Linked DNA regions of Danio rerio. The protein of the gene in region 1 purifies or fractionates together with the protein of each later gene. This does not show direct contact. Links are inferred from orthologs where the notes say so. Each region holds a gene or a part of one and is shown on either strand. Other genes may lie near its edges.

Region 1 (4,039 bases):
CATGGAATTTTCCAGGCCTGGAAAAGTTTGCACGCCAATCCCCATGAACATGTTTTGGAAAAACAGAAAAACCCACAAAGTTTTGGAAAAGTCATGGAAAACAGATTCTTTATACTTGAATATAGGTTATTTACTTCTTTACTGTCCTTGGCCAATCACATCCTCTCACATTATTAGTGTGGTGTAAGCATTATCTAAATCAATTTTACATAGATATAAATATAAATTGAAACTAAATAGATTGTTGTGTGTTTTACGAGATGCTGTAATTAATTTGAACATGCATTGTTTTTCTTTTACCACGCATATGTAGACTGTGCATGAAACATTAGGTCATGAAAATGGACTTGAAAGTCTTGGAAAAAGCGTGGAGATTTAGTAGTAAAAATGTGAATATAATAATATATAATTTTGTAAATAATAAATGGTTGTAGGTATTAAATAATAATTTCCCTTTTTAAAACAGTTTATTGATTTTCTCTAACTGCAAGAGTCGGCTGATTTAATGGGGTTTGAGCTTCTCACACTGCTAGTTCGGTTTGTAAGTGTTGTTTTTTAGTGATCTATAAATAATATAAACTCTATAAACATCTGTTTAATTTACTGAGCACCAATATTAAATGATCACAATAGAGCAACGAATCAGCACATTATGATGATTTCTGATGGACAATGTCTGGAGTAATGACGCTATAAGTTTTGAATCACAGGACTAAATAACATTTCAAAAATATGCTCTAACGGCAAATAAAATAAATAAAATTCACAAGAGCACACAACAAACTATGGTGGCATGATGCTCATTCAAAACGACAGTCTCGTTCATTTTTCCAGTCTCTCCTGGAGTCAAATGTTTCTTAAGACAAGAAAATTACATAAAATATGTTAAAAAAACAAAATTGTATTGTACACTGCAGTACGGGAGAATTGAAGTAAAAAATGCCATAGGTTTTCTGAAAAGCCATCCCTAAATCAGACATGTAGGTCCTAAATCTAAAATGTCCCTGTAAGATCCCAGAGGGACTGTAATTTAATGCATTTAATATAAACAATTGATTTTCATGAGTGAATAGTTTATGTACTCTGCTGCCCTCTGGAGTTGAAAGGTGTGAATTACTTTGCGCTTGTTACATATTCAGGGGTTTCCTCTATCTATACCAGAGATGACCAAACTAGGGCCCTGGTAACCTTTGATTTAGTATGCATCCCATCTGAGAAAAGAGAGACAATGATGGGAGGGTTTCAAGATTGTAAATTCAAATTTAATGTAATCTTTTGTTTGTTTTTTTCTTAAGAGCTAGCTAAAATTAACAATTATTAAAAGGGTGTAAATTGGTCAGATTTTGTTTAAATCTAAATACTGTCACCCGACAATGCAACGACTTTGGTGAGCAAATTAAGTCAAAGTCAGATTTCGCTTGACCATCATATTCAGCATTGAACTTGACTTTTATAAATGTGATTGTTTTATTGCAGTAAGGTGTCGTTTAAAAAGTAATACTGCATTAGTTAATATTGTTCAGAGTAATGGTTTCTATTTATTTTGAAATATTAGGAAATGAACAAGGAAATTATCCACTGCAATTTTAATGGAATATAGTTTCGTATGTTTACCTTTGGCCCATGGTTTGCAATGATATTAGAGTTTTGGGCCATCATACAAAAAAGTTTGAACACCCCTGATCTATACAGATGAAATTTCTTTGCCTTGAACATTGGTGTTCTCTATTCTGAAAGTCCTGTTTGTTTCTTTTGCAGGCGCCTTCCATGTATGCACCTCTTCCATCAACTGTGTGTAGACCAATGGCTCCTCACTAATAAAAAATGCCCCATCTGCAGAGTGGACATCGAGGCTCAGTTATCTTCAGAGAGTTGATGCTATTTTTCTTGCTACATTTTTGTTGGACATTATTTTGTTGTTTTCCTTTTCCTTTTCGTCAGTAACGCATTCAACCAAAGATGGCATGAAATACCTGCGCAACTATGGGAAAAAAGAAACAAAACAACAATCCACACACACAGACACACACAAAAGCATCAAGCCTAGCGTGCCAGCTATCATGTAGTACCAGTACAGCTAGAAATAACATCTTCATTAAGGGTTTTGAATTGTATTGTATTTATAAAGGGTTTATGTAGCTTTTGTTTTCATAAGTGTCATTGTATTTTATTTTTTTGCATGGTTCCTTGCAATGCATTTCTTTGCACATTTAATGAACTAGGCCTCATACGGCCTGAGAACTTGCAGGCGAGGATTGCTGCTCTGGTAAAGAAGCATTTTTACATACCTGATGCCTTGCTTTACTGGAATAGAATGTCAACCTCCATTTTAAAACATTGCAGGACTCAATTTATTGATCAGTATATTGATTAGTTTTATGTTTTAGACAATTGTGATCTGATTTTTTTTTTTTAAAGTGAATCAAGACATTCCTTAATTAGGAAACAAGATCATGGTTAAGAAGATCAGCTGCTGTAACAGTGTTCACCCTCACGCCAATTCACTCTCCACACGGGAACCTGGGCTGGAGTCCATTGCATTTCACTTTGGCTCGTTTACCAGCGCTAACTCGATTGAGGGAGTTAGCGTGAAAGCATTCAGAGATGCGCCTTGTACATTTACTCTTAAATTTATATGCATTAGATCCTGAACCAACGGAACAGAAATGAATTCAACTCCAGCCCTGATGAGAACCAACTGCACACTTCACCTCTTGAACGTTCGCACGGTTGCGTTCCATCAGTCCCCTCTCAGCACCTCAATCTGCCGTCACATGTAACGCACTTCACCTGATGTATTTTCAAAGAGAAAGAAAAAAATGAATGTCACCTACCTGTATTCTGATTGATTGTTGTTTTTATTCTATGATGAAGTCGGATTCTCGATCGAGTGTAATTTCTCAGATGAGCTCGATTTGTTGACTTGGTTCGGTGAGAATGACAGGCCTATAGAAACAGCCACCGCAAAACATGGAGTGCTGGGATTATTTATTTTTTCATCAGGGTCTCCTAGCCTACTTCATTTAACTCTCTTTCTCTCTCAGCAACCTAAAAAGTGACTCTTGTTAGCTGATTATTTCCTCTCGGATATTGCCATTAACATGCATTTGTTTTTTGCGACTGTGCAGCAAACTGTTTTCCCCTTTTCTTTGCTTAATTTTTGTTTCTTCTTCTTTTGCTGCTGTGAAATCCTAACACTAATATTAATCTCAACTAGCTAACTTGCATATACTTGCACATGAGAGACAAAAGACAGGAGTGCTGTGATAATGAGAGTGTGCTGAGGCCGTGTATTTCCACTCTGATTGCTGAATTTTGAGGAAAAACTGTAATAATTTTGAATGGAGTGTTGGAATGCAGTACTTAATGGCAGGCGTCCATGCATTCATAGATTTAATGGCCCCAGGATGATATTCCATGGGATTTATATTAGTTTTAAAATAATGAAATTAATAAAGTTAGGTAACTCTTTTATGTGTCCATTCTTGTGCCTTCTTCTGCTTCACAGATTTACCAAGGTAATTATGATTTAACTGAGGTAACCTAGAAACTGTATGAACGTCATGCAAATGATCTGTGTACTATACAAACCTGCATTCTCTCACGTAGAGCAGTTTTCTAGACTGCAGTTTTCAGAACACACCTACGGATGCTAATGTAAAATCTATTTAAACAACATTCATTATTACTTGGTTATTGAAAAAGTTTTCTACTGATTATTACTTGCAGCCTACTGAACGAGAATACCTTTGCTGTATATGTAGACAATGAAAAGTGTTGTGGTTGTTTTAACAGAGTTTTTGTGCATAATTAATACTAGATCTGTACTAAAAAAGAATAGAAAATACATTCCCAAATAATGTTTAACAGAGCAAGTACATTTTCACTGTATGTCTGATAATATTTTTTCTTCTGGGGAATGTCTTATTTGTTTTATTTTGGCTAGAATAAAAGCAGCGTTACATTACTAGCCCCTTTAAGGAATATTTAATTTTGATAGTCTACAGAACAAACCATTTTTATACAATAACATTTTTAT
Region 2 (4,215 bases), on another chromosome or scaffold:
GTTATTTTTCAAAGTAATGCATTACAATTTTTAGTTACTCCTCAAAAAAGTAAGTTACATTACTAAGTTACTTTTTATAATAAGTAATGTGTCACGCTACTTTTGAGTTACTTTTGCATTACCTTTTCTGACCTGGCTGAGACTTGATCTGTTTCAGATCTTGCAGGATTTTTTCCTTCTTTTTTAAAATAAAGCAGCTCTGCAATAAACATCGCACTAAATAACCTACACCTTCATTTACCTTTTAAAAACACATCATAAAATAATAATGTAGGATAATCTTATCTTTTGAGAACTTCCTGACCCTCAAGGATATATGCCTATACAGGTAATAATGAAAGTCTAATGCAATGTGACTACTACTTTTGTCTTTTTTGTGCTATTAATAAAGTAAAATCACTATCCATTGAGACTATAATCCTGTTTTCCTTTTCTGTGATTCGTTCAGAATAATAAGAAAACTCCCATTGCAGAAATATAAGGCTCTGCCATGTTGGTTTCTGTCTTTTCCTGCATTCTATCATTGAGTGTGGGATTCAATCTGACATTTATTTTATTTCAGCCATTTGTTTTTATAAGCTAATTAATTAAGCTAAAAAGTCACTCAAATAGTATTACTTAATTTTTAAAAATATGCATTACTCATTACTTAGAAAAGTAATATTATTACGTAACTCGTTACTTGTAATGTGTTACGCCCTCAACACTATAATTGTAAAACAGAATAATGTTTTATGTCTTTACCAAGTACAAAAACTGTGATGTTTTGCATGATATGTATTTCATTTAAACAGCCCATTTCAGATGAGTCATTATCTGTGAAACATTGACAGACCTCAGCTCATGCTGCCATTCATTATTCCTCAAAAATCATGCTAAGTCATAGCGTGAATGGGGATGTGGCTAAAGTTACTATTTAATTTCCATTTACTCCTTTCTCTTACCATAAAGTGATTCAAATTCAGCATGCTCCACTATGACTGTCCCTAAGTAGACAGCAAAACTCCCTTATTTCTAAAGAAATGTCCCTTGGTTAGTCATGTGTGCAAGCGCAAGTTACTAGTAGACCACAGATGACAACTGAACATGTACTACATGCATTACATTACATTTACTGTAACCTGTAAATTCTTGCAAAGTTCATGAGAATCTGGCGGCGCGCTGCAGACAGACAGGACAGACAGACAGACAGACACACATACATAGACACGCCCGCGCAACATCATCCGCTCCGCCAGTGCGCGCTCTCGCTGTGTGTGACGCGCGATCTGTCTGAAGGCTTTGAGTGTGTGCGCGTGTTGTTGACGCTCAGACAGACTAGAGGAGAGACCGAGAGAGACAGCAGAGCAGATCGTTCATCCTGAGGCAAGTCCCTTTAAAACCCACATCTGATTCGCCTATACACTGCGTCCATTACTCTGGTGGATCAGCAGTTTGTCGCTGTGTTTTTTAAAACCGTTTTGAAGGTTTGTAATAGTTAAGTGACGTTTATTTCTGTCTCTGAACGGGGATTTGTAGCGTTAGCTCGGTTAGCGCGTGCTAAAGGGTCTAAATATTCTAGCCGCACTGCTAAAGCTGTCTGTGCGAACGAGCCAGTTTTTCAGATGTTAAACCGGTTTTGGTGCTGTCAATGAGCAATAATAATTTGCTTATAGGTGGCGTGTGAATTTTTGAGATGTGTGTTTTGATGTGCCATTTAAAAGGGTATAATATACGTGTATATTATGTGTTTAACCTGGTCATATTGGTGATCGAGCTGGGAGTATTTGTGTGATTGATTTAAATCTTAGATATGATCTATATTGTGTTTAATACAAATGTCTGTATTTCTGTTTTTCAAAAACAGTTTTGGGGATATCGCTGTTTAACGTATTTTGAGGGGGTGGTCAGGTGTCAGACTGGCTGAATGGTTGGCAAACGTTTCACTGCCGAATGAAGACATGGGAATGGATTTAAAATAGAAGCTTTCGATGTCGTGTTGGGATATTTAATGTGTAATAGCCGTGATCAGGTTTTCTTTTCATGTGAAGGGTTTTCCCGATTGCGGGGATGGTGATTGTCACACCGCGGGTGCTCAGCGCAGCTGTGCCCGGAGAAGGAGAGGGGAGAGACGGGTAGAGGCGGGGACAGAGCCGCGGTGTCCTTGCGGGGGTAAAAAGAGAGACGCTGTCATTCAGGGTTAAAAATAGACCGCGTTTTGCCAGTGTTTCTGGAAACTGGTTATTTTATGAGGAAATGAAACGACGTCTGCGGTCAGGGTCAGTCTGTTTGAGTTGACCCGCAAATCTGGTAACGTTAAAGCAAAACCAAGCGTTTATTTCGAGGAACTTGAGATTATTATGCTTTGGTGGCCCTTTAATTTTCGCCAAAATGAATGCATTCCGTTTGTAGAACAGAAACGCATGTTGTGATTCTGAAATGAAACGCGTTTTTCTGATGGATTTTGCCGAAACCCCACTGGCATGCGCTGAATTTGAGGCTGAGCTTTCATTTTGCCTTCATATTCGTGCTCGGAAATTCCGCCAGTTCAGGCTTTTGCTTGTACGATGAAAACATCCTTTTTTATTTACAATATAATATATACATTTAATCTTGCGTGGCAGAAGTGGTGTTTATGTGTCGTTAATACATTTTGTTTCAAGCCTGCTGTGGTTGGACAGGACTAAATGGCTGCTCGCTGTTAGTTACTGATGCTGTTGGTTATCTGTGTTAAACCGACGTTATTAGTGCACTGACTCATTTACCGCCTTGACGGATTCGGCATGTTGTCAGTAGAGAAAAACAGCGCACTAAACCAGCGAGAAACTGGCCTTAGATCGATTGCTTTCAAATTAGATTATCCTGATGAGGTGAAAATGTTTCTGTCGTCTAGTTTAGCACTGTGCCCAACGCTAAAACGCTTCTGGATGCCTTTTAATTGCTCTGGCAGCATTTTCCATTCATCCGCATTCACGTGGCTTCACATTCTGATTTGTGTTTGATTTAGTAAGAATTGTATTTTAATACAAGCCTTTTTTACCTTTTCATTCACAGGAAGCTCGTTGAACATTTAATTCTGTCAGCATCATGCATGTAGCTAGACGTAAAAGGATTTGCAACCTTTAACACAGCGAGCAAAGTAGGACCAACCCAAAGGTGTCGTGTCTGACGATTATTTTCCACCCAAGGAAGACCAGTTATCTGTGTATGGATATGGCCAGCCCTCAGACAGGTCTGAAAACCCCTTTTAAAGACCTGACCTCATTTAAAGGCAACATGAAGCGGCTGTACAGGGAGCGACTGGAAGATGCTCCCATTAAAAAACGGGTAATGGCAGAGATGCATTTGAAACGTCGCAGCCTGGAGAGCATCCCCAAACCCCTAAAAGTCAAGAAGGAGCGTGAGGAGCACACCAGCTCAGAAATGGACATGGAGGAAAGAGAATTCCACATTGTCGGAGCATCCAAGGCTTTAGATCTGAGCGCCGGCCTCAAGCACACGCTGGCACAGTTCACGCTGAGCAGCCAGAGCTCCCTGGGAGGTCCTGCTGCTTTCTCAGCAAAATCGGCACAGGAGTGCGCCTCTCCTGCTGGCATGGCTCCCCTACCGTCTCCCCCAGTCCTCGGAGGAGGCCCACTCTTAGTGCCCTGTGACAGCTCCACAGAGCTTACCCATTCTCTCCTTGAAGGAGAGTCCATCTCCTGCTTTGTTGTAGGTGGTGAGAAGCGTCTTTGTCTGCCCCAGGTACTCAATTCAGTGCTCCGAGACTTCTCTCTGCAGCAGATCAATGCTGTTTGTGATGAACTTTACGTTTACTGTTCGCGGTGTCATGCGGAGCAGCTGCACATTCTCAAGGTGCTGGGCATTTTGCCTTTTAATGCACCTTCCTGTGGCCTGATTACCCTAACTGATGCCCAACGGCTCTGCAATGCCCTGCTTCGCCCAGGTGCCACCATCTCAGCAGATCCCAACAGCAAACTGCCAGGCCAAGGCCTGCTGAAGGAGAGTGACATCAGTTTCCAGGTGGAGCACCAGTGTCTTGGCAAGTGCCAAGGCCTGTTTGTGCCCCATTTCTACGTCCAGCCGGATGCCCCTTGCATTCAGTGCATGGAGTGCCAGCTGCTGTTTTCCCCACAGAACTTTGTAATGCACTCACACAAGTCCCCTGACAAGAGGACCTGCCACTGGGGCTTCGATTCAGCCAAGTGGCCCTGCTACCTTCAGCTGGGGCGCAAG
Region 3 (3,654 bases), on another chromosome or scaffold:
TGGCAGTTCCGTATTGATTAGCTCAATACATGTTTCTAGAACTTTGTTCAGTATGATTATAAGAGTCAATTTTAAATAGATTACCTCTTACCTCAATAGGAGAAGCTTTTTTTAAGTATGTTTTTTTGTTTTGTTTTGTGTTTATTTCTATAAAATATAATATATTGATTTGTTTATTTAGTAAATGCAGCAATGTTGATTTTGTTAAGAGTTTAGTATAATTGTAAAAGGCTGCATTGAGCAAAATAAAAACATTTGGCCTAATGCAAACTGTAAATTTTTCGCTCTCATGAGGTGATTTGGAGGCAAATTAATAAAAAATTTTTTTGCAAAGCTGCAACAAACTTTTTTTGCTTTTAGAGGTCACATGGTATAAAATCACACAGTCAATCTGTTTATTTATAGAAACTTGCACAACTCAAATATAGTTGATCTGCTCGTATAGAACTTCAGAATCCTCAGTTTCTCTGTGGAGTGATATTGTTTGTCTGGTGCACATGTATCTCATTTTATCAAAAGTAATGTCAAGTATGTTGACTGCAGTATAGTGAACATACTTATGAAATATATCACCATAACTTTTAGAATGACTATGAAACGATGAGTTTTAGTCACATAACACATAACGCTGTTTTTAGTATTAATGTTGTGAAATGTTTGTCGTAAGTGTGTGGTGTGGTATATATTCAGTTCATCTTTATTTATATAGCGCTTTTAAAATGTAGATTGTGTCAAAGCAGCTTAACATAGAAGTTCTAGTAAACTAAAACTGTGTCAGTTCATTTTATTTCAGTTCAGTGTGGTTTAATTTTTACTGCTGAAAGACCAAAATGTTGTATATCTATTACACTGAGGAACAAATTGTCCCATTTACAGTTACAGTAATGTAAATCCTGTCATTTCCGCAATTGTTTTTATCAACATTCTAAAATTTTTGCAAAAGTTTTGTGCATACTTGTGATGGAATCATGTCTACTGTTTCGATTTAGAGTAAAATAAATAGTGTGCTTTTACTTCATCACCTGTATTGTCTATTTTCTGATTGCAGTTGCTGTCTCTCGTTCGCTGATGTCTCCTCCCTTCACCAATGGTGTCGGGGTGATGACCCTCAGCCCTCACAGCTCTGCAGAGGTGCATGATGGGAGGGCGAGACTGGCAGCGGGTCATTGTTCAGAGCTGGAGCTCCTCAAGCAGACGCTCAGCAGTGACCTGAGCTCCAAAGAGGCCAGAGAGAAGTTCCTGCAGGAGATCATCCGCATGAGGGTGAAGCAGGAGGAGAAACTGGCAGCCGCTCTGCAAGCCAAACGCAGCCTGCAGCAGGTGTGGACTGATAAATATTCAGCAATATACATAATAAATATACATATGTGTTGAAATACACATAAACCTGACAAAAGTTACATTTATATACAATTTATATTAATAAATTTTATATAAATCTATTTAAACACTAAAAATAGAGTAGATCAGTTTCTAGATATAGAAATAGTAATGTTTTCTATGAATGTATATTTTTATGGTGAAGAATGTAACCTTTAAAACTGTTAGGTAAGTAGTATATATATATGTATTTTATATATGTTTTTAATACAAACCAAAATATTACTTCATATTCTATGAAATCTGTTTTAAATAATACCATTAGTAATAATACAATTCTGAATATTTCAAATATAACACTTCTTCACTTATTTAATTTATTATTTCAATATTTTTGAATATTTTGTATGTTGATAAGTCCACTAACTGAAATACAGTTTGATGAAGTACTGAAATACTAAAGCTAAAACTGAAAAATAAATAAAATAAATAAAGCTAATACAAAACAAACTGATCTAAAATACTGTAACAAAAATAAATTTAATAATGATGTTAATAGTTAAAAGAGATAATATAATAATATTAGAGGTGGCGCAGTGGGTAGCGATGTCACCTCACAGCAAGAAGATCGCTGGTTCAAGCCCCAGCTGAGTCACAGTTGGCATTTCTGTGTGGAGTTTGTATGTTCTCCCCATGTTCGCATGGGTTCCCCACAGTCCATTGACATGTGGTATAGGTGAATTGAATTTTTTAAATTGTCCATAGTGTATGAGTGTGAAAGAGAGTGTGATTGGTTGTTTTTTTCCCTGATGGGTTGCAGCTGGAAGGGCATCCGCTGCATAAAACATATGCTGGATAAGTTGGCGGTTCATTCTGCTGTGACGACCCTTGATAAATAAAGGGACCAAGCCGAAAAATAAATGAATGAATGAATAATAATAGAATAGTTGGTAAATGTAGTCTCCAGATTGCTTTGTCGGCTTCACATGTTGTCCATGATCAGTAACACTGATTGTCTCTGACAGGAGCTGGAGTTTGTCAGGGTGACTAAGAAGGGCCGGCTGAGGGAGGCCATCGAAGCCAAGCGGAACCTAAGGAAGGAGATCGAGCGCCTCCGTGTGGAGTGTGAGAAGAAGGTGCGGGACGCCAGCGAGTCCTGCGACAGGCTGAAGAGGGATTTGGACAGAGAGAGACGGACCCGTGTCTGTGACAAGAACTGTGAAGCAGGACGTCTGAGGGCCAAATACTCCTCACAGGTAAAATCCGGCTGCTGGATTTGATCTGAACGATTTGAACTTCACTTTATATGTAATAAAGTATAATGACAAGAGGATTACATTTCTAATCACAAGCTTTTAGTTCAATGATGCTTTTGAATAAATACCAAGTACAGATAATGTCACTAATGATCACTAATAACTAATGCCATCACTAATGTATCAATCACTAATAATATAATATAATATAATATAATATAATATAATATAATATAATATAATATAATATAATATAATAATAGCCTGATGAATGTTAAATGGATCAAATACATAAGCTATAAAATAGTTAGTATATCTTAATGAAAGTGTTTTAAACTTTTCTTATTTAAAACATGATTAAAACTGTAATTTTATTTTTGAGTTTAAAAATCTCAAACAAGTGACAAGTTAGAACAGCCAATAGTTGTTTATTAATATTAGTATCATTTTTATTGCATTTAAGAATGCATTTGCTTGTAGGTGCATAAAAGTACAACTAAAGTATTTAATACATTAATTCATGTAATAATATTAATATTATTTAATTATTTATTTATTTTACCACCAACAGTAAAAATACGAGACTAATAATTATGTTTTTTTTTCTTTCCTTTTCAAACATTATAATATTTGGTTAAAAAAAAAACTCTGCAATGAGATACTGGGGAAAAATGACAATGAGATTAATACATTAATAAATGTAATTACTTTTTGTTAAACAAATATGATAATCATGCTTAACCATATAATATTTCCAGGTATTGTTCAAAATAATGTACAAATAAAGAAGTAACATCGTTTTACACTTAACAAAAAAGCTTGAGTGTTAGATTAAGGCTCTGGATTTATATTATATTATATTATATTATATTATATTATATTATATTATATTATATTATATTATATTATATTATATTATAATACAGACAGAATTTAAAAGCTGACACTTGTTTCATTTTAAAAGCAGGAAGATTAGCTTTCAGATTTCAGGCATGCTAACAATGTAGTTTGGTCTGTTTGTTTTTTATTGAACATAAATTGAAAACTAATTTTAAGATAATCAGTTGTAATCCAAGAA

The links.
Region 2: the proteins of rnf111 (region 1) and skila purify together in Homo sapiens (affinity purification with western blotting; 3 studies listed by BioGRID). This does not show direct contact. The link is inferred for Danio rerio from reciprocal best matches to the Homo sapiens genes RNF111 and SKIL.
Region 3: the proteins of rnf111 (region 1) and skib purify together in Homo sapiens (affinity purification with western blotting, with the first as the bait; 3 studies listed by BioGRID). This does not show direct contact. The link is inferred for Danio rerio from reciprocal best matches to the Homo sapiens genes RNF111 and SKI.

What each region holds. Positions count from the first base shown.
Region 1 is NC_133182.1:30,527,720-30,531,758, reverse strand, and holds the end of rnf111 (E3 ubiquitin-protein ligase Arkadia), read left to right. Parts: intron 1-1,758; coding exon 1,759-1,876; 3' UTR 1,877-3,472; downstream 3,473-4,039. UniProt on the Homo sapiens protein: E3 ubiquitin-protein ligase. Required for mesoderm patterning during embryonic development. Acts as an enhancer of the transcriptional responses of the SMAD2/SMAD3 effectors, which are activated downstream of BMP.
Region 2 is NC_133177.1:40,324,447-40,328,661, reverse strand, and holds the start of skila (ski-like protein), read left to right. Parts: upstream 1-1,310; 5' UTR 1,311-1,365; intron 1,366-3,033; 5' UTR 3,034-3,186; coding exon 3,187-4,215. UniProt on the Homo sapiens protein: May have regulatory role in cell division or differentiation in response to extracellular signals.
Region 3 is NC_133186.1:27,858,080-27,861,733, reverse strand, and holds part of skib (v-ski avian sarcoma viral oncogene homolog b), read left to right. Parts: intron 1-1,048; coding exon 1,049-1,320; intron 1,321-2,345; coding exon 2,346-2,576; intron 2,577-3,654. UniProt on the Homo sapiens protein: May play a role in terminal differentiation of skeletal muscle cells but not in the determination of cells to the myogenic lineage. Functions as a repressor of TGF-beta signaling.